Linked DNA regions of Rattus norvegicus. The protein of the gene in region 2 interacts with the protein of the main gene of each other region in a pairwise test. Links are inferred from orthologs where the notes say so. Each region holds a gene or a part of one and is shown on either strand. Other genes may lie near its edges.

Region 1 (4,213 bases), on a different chromosome or scaffold from region 2:
TGTGACTGGCTTCTCCAGGCCAAGGCTATCTGCCTCAACTGTTTCTTCCTCCACCTCCTACTGGTTCTTCCCTGGGTGGACCCTTGGAGGAGTAACCACTGTTTTCGGGGACCAGGGAATGCTCGTCAAGTTCACGCTTTTTCAAAGGTGAAGCTTCTATGTGGAGGGGCTTAGGGGCGACGATCGCAGTCCGCACCGATATCAAAGGGTGCGACTTTTTCTCCCACCTCCGCCTGCCTCCCTGTCTCAGTGTTGGGGTTAGCTTGGGAGCCAAGGGCATTAGATCATGTCGAGTCCGAGCTTTGAATTCTAGCCTTGCTTCTTGAACTCAGGACACAACCATTTGCAACTTAGAGATTCAGCTTCCTTCCATCGTGTCCGCCGAATAAAAAGTAGTACAAACTAATGAGGGTGAACAGGATCAGGTTTAAAGTTAGCTCTTGGCATTCGGTGCTCCTGTGGGATGGCAGTTAGGATTAAAGCCAGTGGGGAAAGGGGACAGGTCCCCCACCTCTAGGCAACCTCTGAAGTTTGTATGTAGTGGTGGGATGGGAACAGTGTTTCACTTTGACTTACTTCTAAGAGGAAGCTCCCTGGGGTCTTTCCAGTCCCACCCCGCCCCCATTCCACCTGCGAGTCTCAGGGACGAACGCCCGGCCCGTGCCCCACCCCCGCGCACCCAGCCGTTGCGCTTGAACCCACTGAAAGAATCCCAGCTCTCGACGGCAGGGGTGTGGGAGCTACTGACACGCAAATCCGCTGACCCCGCCCGGGCCTGCCCTGCCCAATCGGCGGCCTTTTAAGGGTTGGGATCCTCTGCGGTGCGGGTCGCAGCTCTGCGCGGGGGACGCGACAAGTGTCCGCTGAGGACCTGGGCCAGGCCGACTACCGGCACAATACCGCATTGGACATTTCTTTTTTAGGGAGGCAGAGCAGCTGCAGCAGAGAGAGAAGGGGAAGCAGAAGGGGGCGACCGGGAGAGCTAAAGCCAGGACCTGCAGTAGGCGGGTGGGGGGCCCTCTGTGTACGCGGGATCCTTTGGGAAGGTGGGAGGAGACAGTCCCATGGCCGGCACCCACCCAGTCTAGTACAGTGCTCGGCCTTTACCCTGCCCTTCTGGTGACTTGGCAGGAGAGAATGGGCTGAGTCCCAGACCCTGAAAAGTCTCACAGGGGTGTCGTAACGGGGGAGTGCCGGGTCCTGTGGGGAGAGCCAGTCCTCCCCTCTAGTCGTTCCCAGATGTCATTCTGCCCGCCCAGGCGCTTGGTTCCTGAGTTCCGGGGCATTCCACGGTTACTAAGTTACTGGTTTTTGTTGACTTTTAAATATTTTCTTCTACGGGAGAGGGGGAGGGGGGCAAAAGCCAGGAAAGAGCAAATAAAAAGAAGTCAACATAAGCCCCCCCTCCCCAAAAGAAAGTTGCCCTCTACTCCTCATCCTCACCCAAACCGAAGGCCTCTGAAACCCATCCCTTGGCTGGAGCAACAGCCAGCCAGAACTGACTACTTCCCAGGTCCAGTCTTCAGCTCCCTTTCTGGTGAATGAGGGCTGGTGGAGGACAGTCCCTTTGTCTCCCAGCCCTGGGCGGACAAAGGGGCTTCCGAAAAGAGAGAAAGAGGATGGCCAGTGGAAATGGGCTCCCTCCATCCTCAGCCCTGGTGGCCAAGCGTCCCTCCGCCCTGGGGCCATTCCCCAGATATGTCTGGATCCACCAGGACACACCCCAGGATAGCCTAGACAAGATTTGCCATGACATCTGGAAGAGAGTTCAGGGCTTGCCTGAGTCCCTGCAGCCCAGGACCTCTCTGGAGAAGCTCTCTGCCCCGGTGACAGCCGCTGTCAGCTTCCAAGACGAGTGAGTAATCCCCTATTTGGTTGATTATCAAAGGCGGGGGGAATGAAGTCTGACTTTAGGTCGAAATGCTCTGGGCCAGTGTTAAGTCCTACACACATCTCTCCCCCAAGCCTCAACCCTCAACCCCGTTTCTGTAATCTGAAAAATCTTTCGGTTGGAGGAGCTGGCCAAGGTCCTGAAGTCCCAGATGCAAGGAAAGAAGCCATTTCTGGCAGCTTCTTTTCCAGTGACTAAGGAGAAGTTTCTTATTTTAAAGACATAGGTGGCTATGATGTAGATCTGGGGTCCCTGAAGATCTAAGGGTTAGGTGACTCATGACTGTCCCCAGAAGCAACTAGATGATCTTTTCCCCTATCCCAAGAAAAGTCCAGGCATTGGCACAGATGATTCTGGTGGTTGGAAACCACATCTGGAATCCCCTAATACAGAGAGCAGCTGTCCCATTCAGCATCCACAGAGCTACTGCAAGAGCGCACATCAAAATATTTACTGGGAAGGCATTGACATATTCAGAGGACATAATAGAAAATTAAAGTGTGGGAAGATGGCTGTAAATAGCCGGTTTCCCGGATGGGAAATCCCCTGTCGGGGAAGCACAGAGCTAAGTGTTTCAGTGCTAGGGAAAAGTTGAGGGGATAGCGTTGGGGCTGGCTATTGGAAAGAAGAGGAAGGAGCAGAGAGGAAGACAGGGATCTCATTAGGAAAAGGACTGCATCAGCTGTGGTGATTAATGCCACTGCAGAGTACTCTTTCAGGGTTCTGCATCTCCAAAGTGGGCTGCTCGCATTAATTAATCCTCCCGGCATCCCTATGAAACAGGTATTAGTGTCCCCATTTTACAGATGGATTAAGTGTTAATAATTAAGTGCTAATTAAAGCCTAAGTGATAATTAAATGTTGTCTGCCCCCAACACATGCTCCAACTCAGTTCATAGATGCTCCGGAGTGTGTGTGTAGGGGGCGGGGTGCATCCCGGCATTCATCAGCCGCCTCTGGTTTCAGGGCTCTCTAAGCATAGCTGAGGTGAAAAGCAATGTAGTGCTGCAGTCCCTATGCAAGCTCCTTTGCTTGCTGGAGATGAAGGCGGGAGGCATGCTGGCTGCTTCTACCTCCCCTGCCCTGTGCTCAGCAGGACCAGGCTCCGATGCAAACGGCCTTGCTCCATCCAGAATCCTGTGGCGAGTCCGTTCAGTGGCTCTGAGCTCCTTTGCCTCACCCATTGCCATCTGCTCCAGGACAAGCACCTTGGCACGGGGAACCTTGGGGCTGCACTCAGCTCTCTCAGTGGCCAAGTAGCTGATTGTCCACTTTCGGGATCAAAGGTCAGCAGCAATTTCCAGTAGATAGCCCCTTCCCTGCCAGGTCACACTGAATTCGTGGAGACAGACTCTACTTCCAGTCTGCAGTTGGCCGGAAATTGAACCGGCCTACCTTTGGCTCATTACTTCACTCCATTTGGCCTTGATTTCCTCATCTGCAAATTAAGGACGACGTGCCCTGCCTTGTCCACCTCAGAGTCGATAACGAGGGTCCAATGTGATGGGAAACTAAGAAAATGAAAGATGCATTATACAAACAAGGCCGCCTTAATATGTAGCTCGTCGAGTTTGGGGGAGGGGAGGCTTCACAGCTCCATGATCCAAGGAGCCTTCAGACAGCCATCCTGGAGTCAAGTGGGCTCCTACACACACACTCTACACACATACACACACCACACACACACTACCCACACACACTACACACACATACACACTACACACACATACACACTACACACACATACACACTACACACACATACACACTACACACACACTACACACACATACACACACTACACACACACCACACACACACACTTCAGCCTGAGCTCTTCAGGTGTTGGTCCGCTTTACTCACTGGAGTTCTGAGTACAGTTGCGATTGAAGGAGTTCTGAGGCTGAGAGGAGACCTGGGAATCTGCTGACTTAGATGAATAAGCCTCATCCTAACTGTATAGCTGTCCGCCCAGCAGAACACAATGAGCGAGGCAGCGAGCGCCGGAGTTGGATAACCAGGTTCGGCAGTGTGTGTGCCTCTGTAGAACCTGTGACTGCGAGGCTGATCTGAGCTTTGGTTTCCTCACTGCCATGGGGGAGTGACGGTAGGGGTCGCTGGAGGTGACAAATCAGGACTATTCAATGGTCCTGCTGGTAATTAGGATTGATAAACTCGTTCTAAGGACAGCAGTTATAATTTCTGTAAACCCTGCAGTCTTTGCATGAGGCAGTGAAGGTCCAAGTGTGTGTAGATGTAAATTTCCATAATTATCAAACTGTGCTGTTCTGGTTTAAATTGCTCCTCTCCCCCCCCACCCCTT
Region 2 (4,372 bases):
TAACTGATTATGGGTTTGTTTTATGTTATTATTTCAAAGGACTTTTCATTTCGAAACTTACTTTATTGAACACATTTTATACATATATACTTAGTCCTTTAAAACCCCACTGTTGGGGCTGCAGGGATGGCTCAGTAGGGAAAGGGACTGCCCCACACGTGTGAGGAACAGAGTTTGCATCCTGGGCACGCTAATGCTGAACAGGCACAGCAACGTGTGCCCCGCAAGCTCAAGAGACAGAGATGGGTAGGACCTGTGAAGCAGGCTAGCTAGCTAGATTAGCTAATTTGTCAAGGTCTTAGTCCAGCAAGGGACCCCTACCTCAATATACTTTTTAAAAGTGACCAAGGAAGACTTCATGCCACCCTCCACCCCCCAGAAGCACATGAATGCATGACTTCCACATGTGTAAACATACATGGACATTTGCAGTCAAACTACACACAAAAGAGCCGGTGTAAATCCTGATGCTAATTTTGTTGTTCGGAGACCATAGCCCAGCTAAAGGAAAAAGACTCAAATTTGAGGGCTTGACATCAGCACCTTTCCTTACCCATCCATGGAAATTTGTCAAGTGATTTAACCACTCAAGCCTTGTTTCTTATTCTATAAAAGGAGGTATACAAATCAATATACTTTTCCTTTTGTTTGAATTTGTGAATAAATGACATGGAGACACGATTGAACAGGTATCAAATGTCCATGGGGGAGGAAAGATGGTAATAATCAAACTATAAGCACAGCCCAATTAAATGTAACAAAGTTTATTGAGCATAGTCTTTCACACTAGCCATTTCAAGTAAAGAAATAGAAAGGACAAAGGTTCGGGCGTTTTCACACACCAGAACAGTCATAAATATTAAACAGCTCGTCCAAAAACTCCAGGTAAAGTCAGAGAAGCATATCTGTTTTAAGGTCATTAATGTTACAAAGTTAGCGTAGCCCCTTTTGCTTGGAAACCCTTTTTCTAGCTCTTTACTCTGAGGCAATGTCTACCTCAGAGGTGAAGGGGAGAGGGGTAAATCTGGAGGGGTCATGGTGAAGGGGGGCTGGGAGGAGAGGGGGGTTGAGGTCAGGATGTAAAGTGAATAAATGAATGAATGGGAGGTGGGGGGGGGGAGGGAAAGTTGGGGTAGACTGGCTTTGTTCCCAACTTAGATTCCAAATTCGAGTTCCTTAGGAGAAGCCCCTAGGAGTGTCTCAGCTTCACTCCAAAGAACAAAGAGTTGGGAGAAGGCTTTGGCAATAGACTGTTCTTCCAGCGCGCCGCGAAGGATGAAGACTATGGGTTGAGAGGGAACAAGAGGGGGAAGTGAGGGCGGGATTTGGGGTTAGGGAAAGAGCAGGGGGCCCTCCGGCTTCCCCGGGTTGGGGGTCCCGCCCTCGCCCCTTCCACTGCGGCTTCTCGTTATGAGGCCGCTGTTGCTTTTGCATTTGGAAATGCAGTACGGCGTGTTACGCGAACTGAATCCCGGGAGGAGTGGGTGTCAGGCCGCCGGACCCTGAGCCCTCCGACCCGGTCCAGCCGGGCGGGCACAAGCACCTGCCGGGCCACGCTCGCGGCTGCGCCGACCGCCCGCTCCGCCCCGCCGGCCGCCGTGTGTTTACGTGGAGACGAAGATGGCGGCGGTGACCGCGGGGCCCGTGCAGCCTGGCGCGAGTCGCCGGTGAGCGCCTAGCGTGTCCCGAGTGGCCGCCGAGCTCTGTCCGCCTCTTTCTAAACAGATCTTTCCTCTCCACTGCGTCCCAGCCTACCCTGCAGACGCCATGGAGGACGAGGAGAGGCAAAGGAAGCTGGCAGCTGGCAAGGCGAAGGTAGGAGCGCAGCGGACGCGGGCCGCGTCGGGAGGCGGTGACCCGGGGCGGGGGCTGGGGGAGAGGCCCGGCAGCGGGGCTGGGGCTGGGGCTGGGGCTGGGGCTGGGGCTGGGGCTGGGGTTGGGGTTGGGGCTGGGGCTTTGGGGCTGGGGCTGGGGCTGGGGCTGGGGCTGGGGCTGGGGCTGGGGCTGGGGCTGGGGCTGGGGCTGGGGCTGAAGAGCCGCCCCCTCTTGCTGCTGGTGGAGACCTGATGACTGCACCGCCCGGCTCCCTTCTCCCCGGTGCCACACAAACCCCTCTCTTACCCCGGGTATAAACTGCTAAGGAATTGCTTTGCAGCATCCACCCTTTCACTTTCTAAAGGGAGTTTGGGGAGTCGATCAGGCATTGTGCTTTCGGGAGCGAGTGTTTAGGGTTTTCTTTATTCCGGGAACACCCCTGAGCTGACCATCAGCCTGCCTCCTTGAGGTGTCACGCTGGCACTCTTGGGTGTGTGTGATTGGCCTGTGACAGCTGCCTCGGCAGTGTCTTGAGTGTGCCACAAGTGCCATCTGCGAACTTGGCTGTAGGGGCGTTTTTTAAGAAGCGGTTCTTTGTATATTCGTGTTGGAGGTCTTTGTCATGGCACGCGCTTTTGTAGTGCGTGGAATGGAACTTCGGAGCATCTAAGGTTCCATAAACTAAACAACACCTATAGAATTGGTGTTTTTAAATAATGCACTTGTTATTATGTATTTGGTAAGTTTGATTTTTGTGTGGGCATGCGTGTATGGCAAGTCATGTAAACAATCTAGGCTAATATGTAGGTGTCTTTCAGTGGGCTTATTAAATAATTTGACACCGTTATGAATGGAATAGAATGATTTCTTTCTAAAATTACCTGGTTGAGCTTACCGTTGACCTCCTTGCTCCCTAAAATGAAGTTACCTTTAAGATATTATATTGTATTTTTTAGAATTGTTAGCAGTATGTATGTGTGTATATATATATATATATATATATATATATGGATAATTAAGTTATATTTTTCCTATTGTACTTGCTGGTTCTATGTCAACTTGACACAAGCTAGAGTCCTCAGAGAGGAGGGAAACTTAATTGAGAAAATGCCTTTTTAAGATCAGGCTGTAGACAAGCCCTTAGGGCATTTCCTTACTGATTGATAGGGGAGGGCCCAGCCCATTGTGGGTATTGCCAGTCTGGGCTGGTGGTCCTGAATTCTATAAGAAAGCAGGCTGAGCAAGTCAGTAAGCAGCACCTCTCCATGCATCAGCTTCTCCGTTCAGGTTCCTGTCCCGTTTGAGTTCTTTTCTTGACTTCCTTTAATGATGAACCCTGATATGGAAACGCAATAAGCCAAATGAACCCCTTTCCTCTCCAGATTGCTTTGGTCATGATTTCTCACCATAGCAATAGGAACCCTAACCAAGACACCTACCTTCCTTTTTTCTTCTCTCACATCATTAACAAAGGAAGCAAGCCAGTAATGAATGAAGGGCCCTACTGGAGAGATACAGTGGTACATGCTTAACACTACTTTGTTAAAGGAGTATGCAAATCGCTAACCTTGTATTTCTAGAGTATAGTTAGTTGACTTTCCCATAAGCACCTCTGTGTGAGGTCAAGATTTAAGTGTGTCTGTGTAGCATCTCTAAATGGAGGGAAAAAGCCCAGGTTTGCTTCCTGTTGTGCACCCTGAGGAACTGACTGGGCCCAGCGCATTGAGGAATTGGAGGTGTGCATTCCTTTCCAAACATCGAGGCTCTGAGGAGAGAGCAGTCCCCCCCCCCGCCCCCACCTTTTTTAGCAGAATCTTAGACTATAGTCCAGCTGAGCCTAGAGTTCAATGTGTAGTCCAGACTGGCTGACTTCAGACTCAGTGGCAATCCTGTGTTAGCCTCCAAAGTGCTAGAATTATGTGTGTGAGCTTCTGTGTCTAGGTAAGATATATGTCTTATTGACTACTTCATGATTTCTACTGCCTTTCCTAAAAACATTCTGTACTAAATATGTGTGGGGCCCACCTTCACTAGACCTGTTTTTATGATTAAATTGCTGTCAATAAATACCTGATTGATCTTTAAAAGAGGATTTGAATTTGGCTCCTATGCATGTTTCTTTGTCTTCCAACGTTCTGTCTCTGTGGGGTGGGGGAGACGATTGATTCACTGTGTGAACTTCTTGCTGTACATGCATGAGTACCAGGGTTCAAATTTCCAGCACCCACATAGAGCCGGACGTGGTGGCATGCATCTGTAACCCAGTGCCTGGGAGACAGTGACAGACAGACCCCTGGGACTTCCTGTCCGGTCTTCTAGCCAAAATACCAAGCTTGAGTTCATTTGGACCCTGTCTCCAAAATATATGTATGGTAGAAAGTAATAAAGGACACCAGCCTCTGACTTCTACAAGCACAGGCATATGCTCCCACACATGATACACCTCTAGGGACACAGCCTCTCTCTCAAAATTAATTTTATCTAAAATACTACTTTGTTCTAGAATCGAGCCTATTCTTCCCAGTGAGGGTTACATCCACGTGGCCTATAGGCAGTT
Region 3 (3,595 bases), on a different chromosome or scaffold from region 2:
TCGGGATGAGTCTCCGGAGCAGCCGCACCCAGGTGGCCACATCGATGTTCATCTGTCTGGCACGCTGAAATGTCTGCCCTGAAGTTGCAAGGGTAGGGTCACCACCCATGACATCCTGGGGTCCTTGGCTGTCCAGCCCAGCTCACTCAGGGCCTCCTTACCTTGCTGCTTGGAGAAAATTTTTTTCTGCCTTTGGAGCCTAGGGATCCGCTCGATGATGGGGTTACGGAAGGTGACCTGTGGGGACATGCTCAGCTGCAGTGGTGGCAGGAACAGATGCACCACAACCTATGACACCAAGCGTCCCTGAGGACGCGTGGCTTGGCCTAGCAGCCGTGCAAAGCTAAGCCTTTGACAGTGGCTATGCACAGAAGGGTCAAGGACTTCACTCATGGATTCACCCAGTGATGGCTTCAGAGCTTGATAGACCGTTGGGGAGCAGGGGACTTCACAAGGAGGGGTGTCATTAAAAGAAGCAGGTCTCTAGCTGCCAGACCTACTCCCTCATCCTCCTTCTGTCTCCTGTCAGCACATGAGCAGCTCGACTCCACAGAGTGCTTCATCACAAGCCCAGAAGCAACAGGATGAACGGCTGCTGCCTGGAAACCATGAACCCAGAGAACCCTGCTTCCTTTATCTCTCCCAAGTATTTTGTCACGTAACAGAGTGCTGGTGAGCAGGGAGAGGTGGTCAGCGCGCTCACTGTCTGCCCTCAGTGCTGTCTGTGTTCTCCTCACTGTGACAGAGGACCTGACAGAAACAACTGCAGGGGGAGCTCTAAGCTGGGCATAGCTGAGGGGATATAGTCCGTCACAGAAGGAGGACACGGCAGCACCGGCAGTGGGGTCCACAGTGGCAGACGACTGAAGCCCAGGTACATCTCAGATGGCCAAAGAACAGAAAGCAGCAGGACTAGGGCCTAACGATAACCCTAGTGACATTTCTCTCAGTGAGGCTCCACCTCCTCGGAGTTCTATTACCTCTCAAAAGAGCACCAGCTGGGGACAAGTGTTCAAACACAGGCGTCTTCATGGGGACTGAAATAGTTAAAGTTGGTTGTCAAGTTGACTAGAATAACCTAGACCAGCCTCTCGGCACACTTGTGAGGGATTACCTATGGTAGTCATGTCTGTTGGGGAAGACCCACCAAAGCTATGAGAGGCACCTTTCCCTAGGCGGGGGTCCTGGACAGTATGGACAGGAGAAAGCAAGTTGAGCACCAGGCATTCACCACTCTGCTTCCTGACCTCACTTCCTATGCAGTGTGACTGCTTGACTTGCCCTTCACGGTGGACTCTGAGCCAAAAGAAACCCTCTTTTCCTTAAAACTTTTGCTAGGGAACTTTACTACAGTCGCAGGAAAAACACCTAAGACAGGAACCTTCATATTCAAACCGAGACAGGCTTCCATCTTGAAAAGGGAGGACGCAGGCAATCAGACCCTTCTCTGAAGGGAAAGGAGTCATCTATGCCCACAAGACTGACATGGAAGTCTGGAAAACAAGTCTGCCATCACCTGACTTGATTCCCAAGTATAGTGGCAGGTTGGCCACAATGGCATCATCTGGCATGGCTGTTAAATTGGCCCTGTGTATGGAAGACTTTGTCACAAACCTATGGCTCTATTTAGGAGGTGGTGTGACCATTAGAGGCAGGTCCTAGTGGGAGGAAGTGAGGTCACTGGAGTACGTCCACATACAGGATATTGGGAGCCTAGCCCCTTCCTGTGTCTCTCTTTGCTTCTGTATTCCGTTGGGTACACATGCCTCCTCCACTTGAACTAAGGGGCCATGGGCAGAGCCCCTGGGCCAAAATAACCCTTTCTCTTTCTGATTATTTCAGGCATTTGTCACAGTGACAGAAAGATGCTTTGCTTACCTGGGACCTGAGAGATACACTCTCAGACCCCTATCTCAGACTGCATCAGCGCCAAGAGGGATGGAACCTGGCCCTTTGGGGGTGATGGGGCTGCCCATGTGCGAATCCCAGGATAACTTAGCCTAGTCCTCCAAGTCCAACTCAGCAGGCGCTGGTCTCTAGACCCAGATGTTCCTGTGCAGGTGCCATGTGTGCAGATCAAATTTAAATCACTCAAAACGTCAGTGGGAAAAACTCTGCTTTCCAGCTACACCAGCTACAGTTCAGACAGAACATTCTATCCATGGTAGAACTCGACATGGTGGGCTCAGTGACAACAGCACTCTGGGAGAGTCTGTCAGCTGCAGCCACCCCTTGCTGTGAGGTTCCCACCAGCACCCACCTCCAGTTGGGTTGGTTGTTGCTGCCGTGCGATGCTGGGGATGAAACTTTGAGGGCGTGAGCCCAGCACACCACACAAGGCTCACCCAGTGCTTGCTTTTCTGAGGCAGGCCTCACTAGACTGCAGTGGCAGAAAATGTTCCTGGCTTGTTCTTCTATTTTTCAGACAGGGGCTCTCTATAGACCTGACTGGCCTGGGACACAAACTCAGAAGTCTGCTTGCCTCTGCTCCCACACTGTGGGATTAAAGCTCACTCAGCTTTGGCTGTGTTTTTTGGTAAGTCTTTATATTCCTGTCTCTTGCTCATCATGTGGCTTAAGGCTGTATGACATCTAGCTTTCATGTTTGCTTGCTTAATGTATGTGGGTGTTTTGCCTTCATGTATATCTGTGTAATACATGTGAACCTAGTGACTGAGGCCAAAAGAGGGTGTCAGATCCCCCAGAACTGGAGTTACAGACAGCTCTAAGTGGCCATGTAGGAGCTGAGAATCAAATATGGGTCCTCTGGGAAGAGCAGACAGTGCTCTTAATTGCTGAGCCATCTCTCCAGTACCCACGCCTAGTTTTATCTGAAGTAACAATTTGGCCCATGGCTTTGTGCATGCTAGGCTAGCACTTTACCCATTGGGCCCTACCTATCACCAGACCAACACACAACTGACAGGCACAGCCTTCTGGGAGCACTGTCACGTATGTGGTCTGTCACTGCTGGTTCTTCCTCCTGTGTGATGTGTGGCTCCTGGCACCAATCCCAGCTTTCATGAAACTTACTTCCCATTAAGGCTCAGAAGCATCTGAAATTAATCTCCCCCATACTAGACAATCAGAGGCAAGGAGGCAGGAAACATCTTAGGGTCAGAAGTCAGAAACCAGGCCATACCTCAGCCACCAGGCAGCCCTGGGGTTCCATGTCCAGCTGCACCTCATGCCTCTCATTGTCCAAGAAGTCTTCCAACTTCAGAAATTTGAGAGCACACAGACCCCTCTGGTCACGCCAGAACACAGCCAACTCCAGCTCCCGAGCCTTGAGGAAAAACGGTCATCACTTCCTGTGTCTGATGCCTCAACTCCCCTTCTTCTACTGCCCGGTGCCCCCATGCACAGCTCACCCTCTCCAGCTCCAGGGTGAAGCTCTGGTCCCAGGCATTGGGGCCGCATGGCTTCCAGGCTGTTTGCCCCACCACAGTGTTGTCCAGCTTGAGCACGGTGCTGACCTCAGCTGAAACCAGGAGAGGGCAGCAGGAAAGAGGGAGGGGAGGGCTTGCTCCTAATCCTGTCAGAGGCCCTCCTGGACGCTCTGCTAACTTGCCTTTCACACTAAAGCCTTTAATTC

Evidence for each region.
Region 1: the proteins of Akap9 (region 2) and C5h1orf94 interact in binary tests that used the Homo sapiens proteins (3 or more experiments, as listed by UniProt). The two-hybrid records come from large-scale screens. The link is inferred for Rattus norvegicus from reciprocal best matches to the Homo sapiens genes AKAP9 and C1orf94.
Region 3: the proteins of Akap9 (region 2) and Pkn1 interact in a two-hybrid assay, tested with the Homo sapiens proteins (2 studies listed by BioGRID). The link is inferred for Rattus norvegicus from reciprocal best matches to the Homo sapiens genes AKAP9 and PKN1.

What each region holds. Positions count from the first base shown.
Region 1 is NC_086023.1:145,607,476-145,611,688, reverse strand, and holds the start of C5h1orf94 (uncharacterized protein C1orf94 homolog), read left to right. Parts: upstream 1-1,394; 5' UTR 1,395-1,541; coding exon 1,542-1,855; intron 1,856-4,213.
Region 2 is NC_086022.1:31,144,485-31,148,856, reverse strand, and holds the start of Akap9 (A-kinase anchor protein 9), read left to right. Parts: upstream 1-1,518; 5' UTR 1,519-1,767; coding exon 1,768-1,815; intron 1,816-2,435; exon of another isoform or gene 2,436-4,372. UniProt on the Homo sapiens protein: Scaffolding protein that assembles several protein kinases and phosphatases on the centrosome and Golgi apparatus. Required to maintain the integrity of the Golgi apparatus. Required for microtubule nucleation at the cis-side of the Golgi apparatus.
Region 3 is NC_086037.1:41,363,821-41,367,415, reverse strand, and holds part of Pkn1 (serine/threonine-protein kinase N1), read right to left. Parts: intron 3,482-3,595; coding exon 3,372-3,481; intron 3,287-3,371; coding exon 3,143-3,286; intron 238-3,142; coding exon 162-237; intron 79-161; coding exon 1-78. UniProt on the Homo sapiens protein: PKC-related serine/threonine-protein kinase involved in various processes such as regulation of the intermediate filaments of the actin cytoskeleton, cell migration, tumor cell invasion and transcription regulation.